Linked DNA regions of Schizosaccharomyces pombe. Changing the gene in region 2 together with the main gene of any one other region gives a genetic interaction. Each region holds a gene or a part of one and is shown on either strand. Other genes may lie near its edges.

Region 1 (4,710 bases), 570 kb from region 2:
CGTTACGACTTAAGCTTTACCCGCATTTCTTCCTCTCCTTACTTACCGGAAACTCATGTTTTAATGTCTGAGAACAATGAGTGTAGTCAAGCTATTTTCGAAATTCCCGAGTTTATGTCTTCAATTAACGAGTGTATTGAAAACCTTGAGTATTTCATCGTTACTGATCAACCTTCAGTCCCTCCTGCTACCGAAAAGGATTATGTTACGAAGCCTCGTATCGAAGCTTCAATCAGAATTAAAAAAATCACATCCCTTTCTGGTTTGAGCAATGCTACGGGAAGTGCATTGTTTAATTCCTTGTTGCTGGTAGCTGATAGTTGTCCAAAATTCCAATGGCGACCAGAAGTTTCGAAGAAACTTACCTCTGCCCGTAAACTCGCCTTTGAGCAAGTTGTTCATGCTTCAGCCGCTAAGGCCGCCAAGAAAAAAGTTAAATCCTCTGGCGATATTTCTAAGCTTTCTGAGTCTGATCAAAAAAAGCGCATGGAGAGGGAACGTCAACGCAAAATGAGAAGACGCGCAAAGAAGATGTAAAATGTATTTAGCTAAACTTCGATTTCTCTTAACATCTATTTTTCTCTCTAATACAAAAGCAGTTTTGTTTGTTTGTTTTTTTATTTAATTTTTTTCATTATTGTCAATTAAATGTATTTAAGTTGTAAGGTATGTATGCAATGGTTAAGAATTATCGGATTCATTGAGGAAGCACACCTTTGGTTACACTTGCGCACCCTTATTTTTTGGTCTTGTATTAATTTACATGTATGATTAGTCTGCTACTTCAATTGATGAACAAAGTATATTATCAATCAACAAGAAATAAGGAACTTTTTTTTACCCAACTTTTAAAGGTAACCAATATTAAATCCTTTGGAAGTTCATCAAGCTCTTTAGTGTGAATTTACTAATTCAAATGCCTCGCGGACATTATATTAAAAAATACCAAATTCTGTTTTTTCTTATATGCAAAGCAATGAGACATCAACTAGATAATTGAATTTGACGGAAAAGAAACTTCAAGGATATTTTATAGGAATAAAAGTATTATTAAGGCTTAGAGGAACGAACCATTAGGTTATGGCATAAATAAGATGAAGCATCGTTTTTAATCACTTTCAGACTCCGAATCGCTACCACTATCTTCCAAGTACATACGAAGCCATTGCATTCGAGGTCCTGTTTTACTTAATTCGCTGACTTTAAAGCCATAAATTCTAGGCTGATAAATTTTACCACAAGGGATTGAGCGCTTAGGATTCAGTTCAGGATAGCTTTCAAAAAACAGATGAGGAAAAGTAGCACCAAAAAAAGAGCCATCTATGTTTTTGTATCGAGAACTAGAAGGAGCGTACAAATCAAGACAATTAGGGCAAAATAACATTACAGGCATTTTTCCAACTATATCAGAAAGTCCTGCAGGCAAAACATGAGTATAGCAGCAATTTACACGAGGACAGCAACCAAAAATACCCATGCTGTATTTTTCCGCCATTTGATGTAATCCTGTCCGGGTAATAATATAACGTTGATGGATCAAACCATACAATATTTGAGCACTCGTTTCAATTACGTCCATATCAAAATTCTCCAATGTGTCAGGAGCTGTCCGATCGAGAATTAGGTCCAAAGCCTCATTATAGAAAGGGACAGCCAAATTAAGACCGGTTAAATTGAAAAGATCTTCGATAAAATCTTCCTTCACCTCGACAAAGTATTCACGACCTGGTCTTGAGCAGAACCAAGATATCCAACTAACATTTTCATGAAGAGGAGAAGAAGAGAGATCATCAAATAATTCATCAGCATCATCTTTGGTACTGTAAGTGACAGTAGGATCATGATTAAGTTTTATGAGGTTTTTTCGCGACATTGTGGAAGGATTAAAGGATAGACGCACTCTTTGAAATAATTTTCGAATAAAAAAACCTCCTGAAACAGGGAAATTAAGTGAAATAGGATAAAATAGGCGTAGGTAAGTAAAGGTAAAATAAAAAAGCCAAAAACAGAATATCGAAGGAAAAGATTAAAATTAACAACGAAAATGATGATAATAATAATAATAATAATAAAAACAACTCCGTAATCTTTTCAATATTTAAAGGTGTGACATTCAAGGTAAAAAGGATTTTTGTAAGGAATTTAGAATAAATAGGTCAGCCGATTAAACGATTGAAGATGCAAAATAGAAAATCCTTCTTCAGGTTAAAATTTGTAACCCTTGAAGTTCGGTTGCAAAAATATAAGAGCAAAAAAAAAAAAAAAACAGAACAAACAAAAGGATGCAAAGCCTCTGTTTTGATGCTCTTGGATAATCAAAAAGGATAGCCGTTAAATTATCGTATCAGAAAAAACGAAACGATAATAAAACAACTAGGAGTATATCAGTTTTTAATTAACAGAATCTCTAGAGTATGAATAAAGGAAATTCAGAAAATAGAATGTGTTGTTTTTTGGAATGGTTTCAAACCAACAGCTATAACGGATTCCGAACAACAGGCTTGGTTAGAAATCTCGAATTACGGATGTAGATTTCGGAATCGAAACAAGTCCGTACTTCTCAACAAATCAACAATAGTATAGAATACTAGAATATTCAATGAGACCATAAACCTGCTTTAAGCTAAAGGCAATCTAAATAATTGAAGTTCCTCACACCAAAGTGGTTTTTAAGGAACGAGTGAAAAACGAAGAATTAAAGAAGAAAACGAAAATAATTGTTTCTAAAATCGGTCTTATTTCACAATGATAATGACTCAGAACGAAAGACAATTCAAAGGGGAAAAATTTCTCTACCTACCGGTTAAAGTAAACTTCTTCTAGTCTATGAAAAGAGGAAATTCAGCTCTTGTTCTAACAATATTCGTTTTGAATAGCAAATGACTGCTATTCACAGACTGTACAAGGGTCAGAGGTACCCGAAAAGTTGTGAACTTGCTTGCCCGCAAGGGAGAATGCATTATATATGATTAGAATAAGGAATTTCAAACTACCGAAAGTAAAACTAAAATTACGAGTTCGTTGCGGTTCTTAAAGCACAATATATCATCGTCCACTAGGAAAATTCGAGGAAAATAGGATCAGCAGGAGTGAAAGTATAACACCAATTACTACGGTTGGCTACAATTATATTATTAAATAACTGTATAGTTAAAATACAATGTCAATATTTTTTTTTTCTGTAAATAATCGTGATTTTTATTCATGGAATACACTATCACGACAACATGAATGTTTTTTGAATTTTTCCTTTAACAAAATTATAAGAAGGGTCCTACATTCTTGAGGCTAAAATTTGTTTAACCAACTAGTCGAGATACTGTTTTGCCATTTTAAATGTCGGATCTGTAAGTCACAAATAATGTTTCTAGACCTTAAATTACCTTGTTTTTGAATGCTGGATTAAGAAACTAGCAGACCACAAACACCAAAGGGAATACGCGTTACGGCTTAAAAGTTAGCTGACTTGGTACTGTTTTCTGTAATATATTTTCTACCAAAATTTAAATTGTAGAATGCGACTTCTCAAAAACATCAAAATTCTTTAGCAATGCCCATTTATTATTACTTCGTTTACTGTAGGCAGCTTCTCGGCTGTGTAAATTTCGGAATTAAAAGTCTGCGTGGCAAAAAGGAAGTTTTCACGAATCGAGCTTGTAATTAATTAGAGCACACAGTCGCTAAAATAAGTAAAGCCTTCAAAACTACCGGGTGTTAATTTTCTATAGTGGGAAATAAAACAAAGTCTTCAATTGTTCATCAAAAATCGCACCTATTAGGGTATTTGACACAATTGAGCATGGGTATACAGACAACAAATATGTAAAAAAAATAAAAAATAAAATAAATAAATAATAAAATTATTTATGATAGCCAATATTAAATAAGCAATTTTGAGAGCAAAATTAATTTCTCAGAATATTAAAAAAGCAGCGCCAACAACAATTTCACAAGCAAGAGATGACAATGTTTCATACAACCCCATTTATAAGTTTTTATTATTTGTACATTTATCATTTTACTTTTTACATTTGTTTTAACTAGGAGTTTCTCGAAGATTTGATTCACAAACAAATATTTTGGGAGAAGGAGCTTGATGCCACTGCTTATATCATCAGCAAAATCAATAATTGAAATAATCAATTTGTGTTTGTTACCGTTTAATATATAATATAACAACTCGCTACTTCAAAAAGTCTTTATTTTATTAAGTTGAAATTTTTTGTTTTATACAAGAATTGTATACGTTCGCTTTATCATCATTAACAAATTTCTAATAGGATAGTTTGTTATTTTTAGATGATGTAGTGAATTGAACTTAACACTAAGTATCCAAAGATTCATGAATGTTTACTTACACGAAAACTCCAGGGCGTATATCCTGTTCAACCATCATTGCACTGTTTATTATTATTATTATTGTTATTGTTATACTTCTCAGTAGTTTAAATATTTACGAATTGCTAACTTGGAGTTTTTCTGCATTTATGTTCATATTAAGGCTTATAAAAAGATGATTTTCTAGAAATTCTATCTCCGTTTACTGTATCATCTAATATATTTGACTATGAATGGGGGTTTACCCTATCAATCTTCCCAATAAGCTACGATTTATCATATAATGTATAGTAACACATTACGTTAACTGCTTTAGCGAAAAATGTGGTATTTCAATAGAATTTGTCAAGGAGCTTAAAAAATTCCTCTAAT
Region 2 (3,792 bases):
TATAAGTGATTAAGAAAGGACTAAAAAAGTTATCATCGTCTAATAGGCTGCTTGTGAGAAAAGAACTGATGAGCCATAAAAAGACGACAAACAATAAAAGAACAACGCCTAGTGCATGTTTCCCAATAGCCTGAAGCACCATTTTTTTCTATAAAATTTATAAATAATGATATAATTAATAAGAAAGGAAAACAAGTAAGATAAATTATGGATAGACTGTAAATTGCATTTATAAAGTGAACTGGAAGAAACTAAAAAAAATACTTCTCATCAAATCATTCACAAAAATAAATAATTATAAAATTAGGTCCATTTAAGAAGCTTTTCTAGTAAATCGAGTAATCTCACCTTAAAGTAGTAATGGTGGTAGGGAGGATGAATCTATAACAAACTTATATAAGCTGTACGCAATTTCAGTTTCTCTTACGTTTTCAAACTATACGATGATTAAAGCGCCAAATTGGGATTTTTTGCTTTGTTTATTTTGTTCAAGCCAAAGAACCATTCTTAATTGCTAAATTCCAAGTTATGGATTTTAATTGACTAAATACAACCACATCTTCTGATGCCACTAACTTTGAATATTCTTTTCAACCATATTTCTACAAATGTTTTTAATGTTAAAAGGTTGATATAAATAGAATTCATTTTGCTAGATCAAGCTAGTTTCAGATAAATAATAGAGCATCAATGAAAGCTAACGGCATAAGCAAAAATAACATAAAAGGCAGACACGTCGTACCAGAGGTGCACGGACTTAGTTAATCATTTTGCGAATAAAAGGCCGATCTAAATACTTTAACGGTTTCTATGCTCTCAACACTTAAATGAAGAGCAACATAAATGGGAAGAAAATGGAAATAAGAGAAAAGGCAAAGACTATCATAAGACACCAATCATGCAAATAAGAAAAAACCCATACAAAGAAATGTCCTTAATTAAGTAGCTTTAAGAAGAATAGGGTTTAACAGTAACATGAAGTTTTTTGACTCTCCATATCTAAATGAATAGGATCTGTAAAGTCTGCCGCAATATCGTCAGAATCCATGTTCTCCAGAGCTAACTTAGCCACTGTTTCGAATGCTTCTTGAACATTGATAGCTTCTTTAGCACTTGTCTCGAAATAGGGAATTTCTCCTCTAGCTTGGCAAAAGGCCAATGCTTTTGATTTTGAAACCTGAAATTATTAGCAAGAAATTCTCAGCTTTGTATTAAAAATTCAATACTTTAGACACATACCATCCTCTTTTGTTCTTCCACGTCGACCTTGTTTCCAAGCAAGATAAAGGGAAATGTCTCTGGATTGCTCGGTGATGCTTGAATCAAAAATTCGTCGCGCCAGCTATCTAAAGTTTCAAAGGACTTGCTGTTATTAACATCATAAACGAGGACACAGCAATCTGCGCCTCGATAAAACGCAACCCCCAAACTCTGGAACCGCTCTTGACCAGCGGTATCCCAGAGCTGTAATGTAACGACTTTGTCATCGACCAGAACTTCTTTGGTAAGAAAATCCGCTCCTATGGTTGCTTTATAATCTTTGCTAAACTTTCGATTCACATACTAAACAGATTTGGTCAATAACTTTCATTTCAAACATGACAGTCATAACATTAACATATTTCAAAAAACATACCTGATTCATGATAGAAGTCTTTCCAACACCGCTTTCTCCTAAAATAATAACTTTCAGCAAATGCTTCTTTTTGCCGGCCATATTTACAGCGTAAAAACGAGATAATTCGATATATTATTGAAGGCCAATAGTCCTAATTGAACCAAGAATCCTTTTGAGATCTGCAAAAAAAAATAAATTTATAAATTACTTCTTTCTTTGAAACGGAAATAGTTGCGCACGTTCCCTTGGTGTTTGCTCTGCGAGTATCAAGGCTTGTGAGTCTACCCTTCATATGCCTTTCACGTCATGAGTATAACGAACTTCATCATGCTTGGGTATTTTGATCAAAAGAAATATGGTAAACTTCACTATTTAAATAATTACTACATAGGCAATCCGATGTATACTGACAACTTTCTTATATGCTTGTCGAAAACAGTAATGATTTATTAATACATTGGTAGGAATCTAAGTTTTTATTTAAATTTTATTTTTTCAAGATTTAGTAGTCAATTTTTCCAGTTCTTTCATCTCGTCTCGTATTGAGTAAGTTGCTACCATATTTTGTTTGTGTTGTCTTCAAGAGAATATCACGCAGTCTCCTATCTAACTGGTGTTAAATGGAGTTAATTAAAAAAATACAAGATAGGGATGCTGCTGAGAAAGCGTATTACGATGTCATAGAACCATATTCAGAACTTTTGGAATTCAGTTTTCACAAAGAGTTTGTGAGTGAAGAGAAAGTCACCCAAAGGACTGCGTCAAGCGATTCTCTGAACACCATTGCTAGTGAGAATAATGACGAGAACGTAATAAACCTAGAAGAATTTCGGCAATTGAAAAGGAATTGTGATTTATATCAAAGGAATTTGCAAAAGCTGCAGCTGCTGTTCAAACAGCAATCCCAAAAAAACACACTCTTAGAAAAACAGCTTTCACTACAAACTGAGTTGAATCAGGAGAAAGATAAGCGGGTTAAAATACTCCAAGATGAGCTGTGGGCTTTACAACTTGAGGTAGCTGCTTTAGAGAGGAAATCTCCTAATGCCTAAAATTATCCGGGATTCAATTTTTTGTCGACAGATTATTTTAGTTATACTGTTAAATTTAGAAAACGTCGATTCGCGCTAGGTTCACTAATTATGATTTTACGAAATGTTTGTTATGCTTATGGATTAATATTAAATATTTTCTAGATGATTTCAAGTTAAAAAGGATACTTAAAAGCATAATGAGAGGTCTTCGCTTGTACTCGTCGTTCCAATTTTAGAAGTTACAAGCATAGACTATCTCTTCAGTGGTTGACCGCACATTTTTATGTCAATGGATATGTCCTTTGTATAATGAGGAAACATAAGCATTCAATTACTTGTATGAAGATTTTTCGGCATTAATATCTTCATGAATATCATTTTCTACATGGTCAAAATAGTAAATTTGATTATCTCAATTCAAGTAGCTTATGTTCCCCTTTTTATTTCCTTATCGGTAACGCCTACGAGTAATTGAATTTTCAATCTGTATTATTATTTAAGCGATGTCTTGTTATAAGTATTGGTTGAAAAAATATTATGCATTTCTTTAATACATTTGATTTTCGTCACTTGTATGCTTCTAATGAGATTGGTTCATGAATGACAACGGTTCAACAAAAGTATAATCTAGTTCTTACTGAGTAATCAAAACGAAGAATTATCCGGCGAAACAAAATATGTCTGCCCAAAGCTTTAAGTTGAATTTAATAATAGTTGCATAATTCTTTAAACTTTAGTATTTAGATAGTTCAGAAATATTGTATTGCTTGCAAGATTGAATATAAAAGCTTGGGTATCTAAGCGTAATGAATGTTACTATTTCCATTACTCTGAGCGACAATATGGATAACTCAGTACTAGTTCATAGTCTTTTAAGGTATACACAAAGAAAATTAGAAGGATAGGAAATAGAATAAGAAATATAACTTGTTTTATACAGGGTTATACTCAAAGACAAATATTTGATGCAAGGGTTTAATTTTAAAGACTACGATATACCTACAATACACTCTTTTTCCCTACTGCTATTTGGCATTCAATCAAATAAAGTGCTGCTTGTTAGAGCAGTAAGCAAAGAATACATTTATCATTGGAAATTTAAGTACGATTGGTAGTTTATTGATTCAAGGTAGCCTGCTA
Region 3 (3,841 bases), 1.2 Mb from region 2:
AGACATCTAGATACACACAACAACAAGATATAGATAGGACCACTAGGTAAAAATTATTATTAATAAAATATATACCCTTACTAAAAAAAAAAAACAAATAAATAAAAATAAAATAAATTTAAAATAATAATAACAATAATAATATTTCTTTTTTTTATTTTCTTTATTTCTTTTTTTTTTTAATTTAATTTTGCTTTTTATTCTTTTTTTCTTGTTCAATTTAGGTACTTTTCTTTCCTTGTCTTGTTCATCTTTTATTTTCTTTTACTGTATTCTAAGGCACTCCTTTAATAAAAGGTACTTGGTAGCGATTCCTCTTCTCCTTCTCACAAACCTTTATTAGCGACATCTACCGCACTACCAACCTCTCGACATCAACTTGACCCTTCGCTTCTCTATTCCGTCCCACCCTCCCTCGCTTTTTACAAACCTTCTTACTTAGCGATACACCTTAATTCGAGCTTCTTTCACAAAAGTCCATATCAAGTCGTTCGTCTCCCTTTTCACTTCTATAACCCCAGTCTTTACTCTCTCGTGTAATTTTTTTTCTCCTACTCTTACTCTTCTACTTTTACTACTACTCTTCTTTTTTCTCTATTTTCCTACACTTCCCTCTCTCTCTCTCTCTCTCTCTCTCTCTCTCATCCTCTTCATATCTATCTTTCATTAAATTTCCTACATCTTACTTCTTCTTCTCTCTCTTTTCCCTCCTTTTTCTCTTCCCCCCCCCCCTCAACTACCATCCATCGCCATCAAGTTCGTATTTGTCGCAATCCAGTCATGCACTTGTCGACTAATCCCATGGAAATACGGTGTTGCATACTTTGAATAGATCGCATAGTGGTGATCAAACGGATTTTCTAGACATTTCAACAGTAGATGCACATACGAAACTAAACTCATATAATCATATCCCGTAATTTGAGGCAACGTATTGCTCCAGTTTTCCTCTTGCAATATAGATTGGCCGGTGTAGGCGCATGTCGCTACCAATTGACTCGCCCTTAGACTTGAAAATCTTTGTTCCACTAGCGATACTTCAAGAAAATATTTTATCATTATTCGCAGCTGCGACTCCCATTTGTTGACAATCGTCAATAGCCTCAAAAACGATACTGGCCCCGGCCACCCAAGTTGATATTGAAGAACCATAAGCATATACTTTTCCATTCCGCAAATATCTTCTCCTATCCATTCTCCCTCCAACACTATTTCCAAATCTTTCACTGTAGGAGGATGGATCTCTTCATACTTGCAAGCAATAAACAGCGCCGTTGCGCCGCAAAGTTTCATTTTCGATGCTGGCACATTTTGTAGAGATAGAAATCTATCCAATACATTGATCGATAGGAATAAGGATTCTGGAAGCAGGTTTATACATGTATGCACCCCCACAATCCAATTGATCACACTAGCCCTCATCTCTGTAACATAATATGGTTGAGCCGACATATGTCGGTAATCAGGCATAAATCGAATCTAAAAAATGTTAATAAATAAAAACTTCTTCAACTCCTTCATCTTCTTGTTTTCCTTCCCCCTTTTCTTCCCATTTTTTTCATACCTCCAATTTCTCCATGTGCGATAGGATTTCTTTTGCGTATTCCACAGACACCGATTCATCTGCTGAATATCTCATCTGTAATTCCTCCTCTTCATCCTCCTCTGCACAATTGTCATTTGATTCTTCAATCGCTATGCCAAATTCCGAAACACTGCAATTAGGACTTTGAACGTTACTGATCGAGCAAACATCCAAATCTACCAAAAGCTGTTTCTCCGTAAAGACTATCTCTTCCTCTAAAGGTGACGCTAAAAAACTATCATAGTCCTTTTGTATTTGCGACTCTTCAATTGAACTAATTCCATGCCAGCTCTGTGACGGAAAATGTTTATCTGATGGGCTACACCCATTTTGAAGGGATATTTCTCGTACCTGTGCGTTCACCCAGCCTTTTACGTTCAATGATTTGGAAACATAATTGCTTATTTCTTGAAGCGCAACTCTTTTGTTGTTAGAGTTCATGTTTGAATTGGTTCTCGTTGCTGAAACGGTCGCTTTAATTGTTTCAACCAAGCTCTTAGGTAGGCAAGTATCAGTCAATACAATTGCTTTTACTCTTTAATGATTGGGAATCAAATCAAACCGTTTTCTTGAACTTTTTGTTGTAAAATGGCAGTATGCTATTAGCAGGTTCTGTTTGTTTACAGTGAGTCAACAAAAAGTTGATGGTGAAAATGTTTGTTTATTTCCCATATACATATACCAACGGTCGTAACCTTAAAGTAAAACACAACCCAAAACTAAACTTTACCTCTACTATATCAGAATTCATGCTGCTTAAAAATTCCAAACAATGCCCGAATTCATGAAATAGGTTTTTGTGTTGATCGAAACGTTATCAAAGTAAAGCAAGGATTTTGATCAAAAACTCTTTTATTATTTGTATTGATGAGTTTTTACAGTCGCTCATCGGTTGTAAACATTCCATTATTTTACCGTTTTCGAATCATTGAAAACTGAACATAAGAAATCTTGCTACAATTAAGCTTTTTTTCTATTAGGTAACCATCAAACAAGCTTAAAAAAAATAATTAATTTACGCCTTCTCGTAAGTTATTATAATCAAACAAATTGAAATGTAATTGAAAAGAATCTCCTATTCTAAGATTTTTCTACAAACTTGCTTCGAAAGTTTCTTCTGCACTTATACAATGCTATAAGGAATATTCCTTTCTTCTAATTTTGATCGATTTTCGCAAAGTAGGATTGCCTGATACAATGTCAAGGATCTGATTTAATTTCCTTAAAAAAAAAAAAAAGAAAGAAAATGAAAACTCAACAACTTTAAATCATATTACAGTTCCCATATTTACTTGATATCCCAAGTTTACTACGACTTAACTTCTACCACTATCCTTTGAGAAGCACATGGATTCGAAGAAATAGCATATGGAAGTTTAAAAGTTAACGGGTCTCCGAAATCCATTCAAAAGTTTAATTCCATAAAAACAATCTAACATGCTAAAATTTCATCGTAATGTGAAGCCTCAATTTGGTGCATTTGCAAGGTATAGTAGTTTGGGAAAACACAACTCTCGTAAACGGGTTGGAATCATCCGCTTAGCATATGGGTTGACAGGAATCGGCTTGGTTGGATTAGCTGGCTTCGCTTGGGCTCAAGATCGTCACGAGAAAACGTATCAGAAGAAAGGCGTTCAGGTGGAGGGACCATGGCAATTTTATGTCCTTACCACTTTACCATTACGAACTCTCTCGCGTTGGTGGGGATATGTTAATCGTATTGAGATTCCTCTATGGATGAGAGTGCCAGCGTTTGGCCTTTATTCTAAAATATTTGGTTGCAACTTGACAGAAGCTGACCCCGATGATGTCCGCCAATACAAAAATCTGGCCGAGTTTTTCACCAGAAAGTTGAAACCTGGAGCGCGCGTAATTGATCCCGATGCCCCAATTGTTATTCCTGCGGATGGGAAAATCTTGAATTATGGTGTTATTGAAGGAGGTCAGCTTGAACAAGTAAAAGGTATAACCTATTCCCTTGATGCACTATTGGGCGATGAGAAGTTAGCTCGTTTGAAGCGCAGCCATGCTATTCCCTCTCCCGATCATATCCCTCACATTCGTCAAGAGGAGTTTGCCAAGTTAAATGGTATACATTACAGTTTACAAGATTTAATGGGTCATGATCATGGTGAACGACCAAGCCATGTCAAAGATGCTAGCGCACAACATATTGATTTGTTAAGCTCAACAAAAGTGGCAGCCAAATCACAGTTTACGTTGTTCGGATCAAGAGAAACGAATTGTTTATACTAC

What was found.
Region 1: mutations in atg16 (region 2) and ckb2 together harm fitness more than expected from each alone (negative genetic interaction), as found in Schizosaccharomyces pombe (one large-scale study listed by BioGRID).
Region 3: mutations in atg16 (region 2) and rem1 together harm fitness less than expected from each alone (positive genetic interaction), as found in Schizosaccharomyces pombe (one large-scale study listed by BioGRID).

What each region holds. Positions count from the first base shown.
Region 1 is NC_003423.3:2,577,209-2,581,918, forward strand, and holds ckb2 (CK2 family regulatory subunit protein), read right to left. Parts: upstream 2,931-4,710; 5' UTR 1,874-2,930; coding exon 1,109-1,873; 3' UTR 583-1,108; downstream 1-582. Other genes in the region: SPOM_SPBC2G5.01 (Ca(2+) binding protein), read left to right, coding at 1-537. UniProt on the Schizosaccharomyces pombe protein: Regulatory subunit of casein kinase II/CK2.
Region 2 is NC_003423.3:3,146,514-3,150,305, forward strand, and holds atg16 (protein Atg16), read left to right. Parts: upstream 1-2,038; 5' UTR 2,039-2,238; coding exon 2,239-2,670; 3' UTR 2,671-3,143; downstream 3,144-3,792. Other genes in the region: SPOM_SPBC405.03C (transporter), read right to left, coding at 1-142; GTPase Ypt7, read right to left, coding at 965-1,177, 1,240-1,563, 1,637-1,717. UniProt on the Schizosaccharomyces pombe protein: Stabilizes the atg5-atg12 conjugate and mediates the formation of the 350 kDa complex, which is necessary for autophagy.
Region 3 is NC_003423.3:1,952,687-1,956,527, forward strand, and holds rem1 (meiosis specific cyclin Rem1), read right to left. Parts: upstream 2,027-3,841; coding exon 1,565-2,026; exon of another isoform or gene 1,480-1,564; coding exon 733-1,479; downstream 1-732. Other genes in the region: phosphatidylserine decarboxylase Psd1, read left to right, coding at 3,023-3,841. UniProt on the Schizosaccharomyces pombe protein: Required for pre-meiotic DNA synthesis and S phase progression. Regulates levels of meiotic intragenic recombination.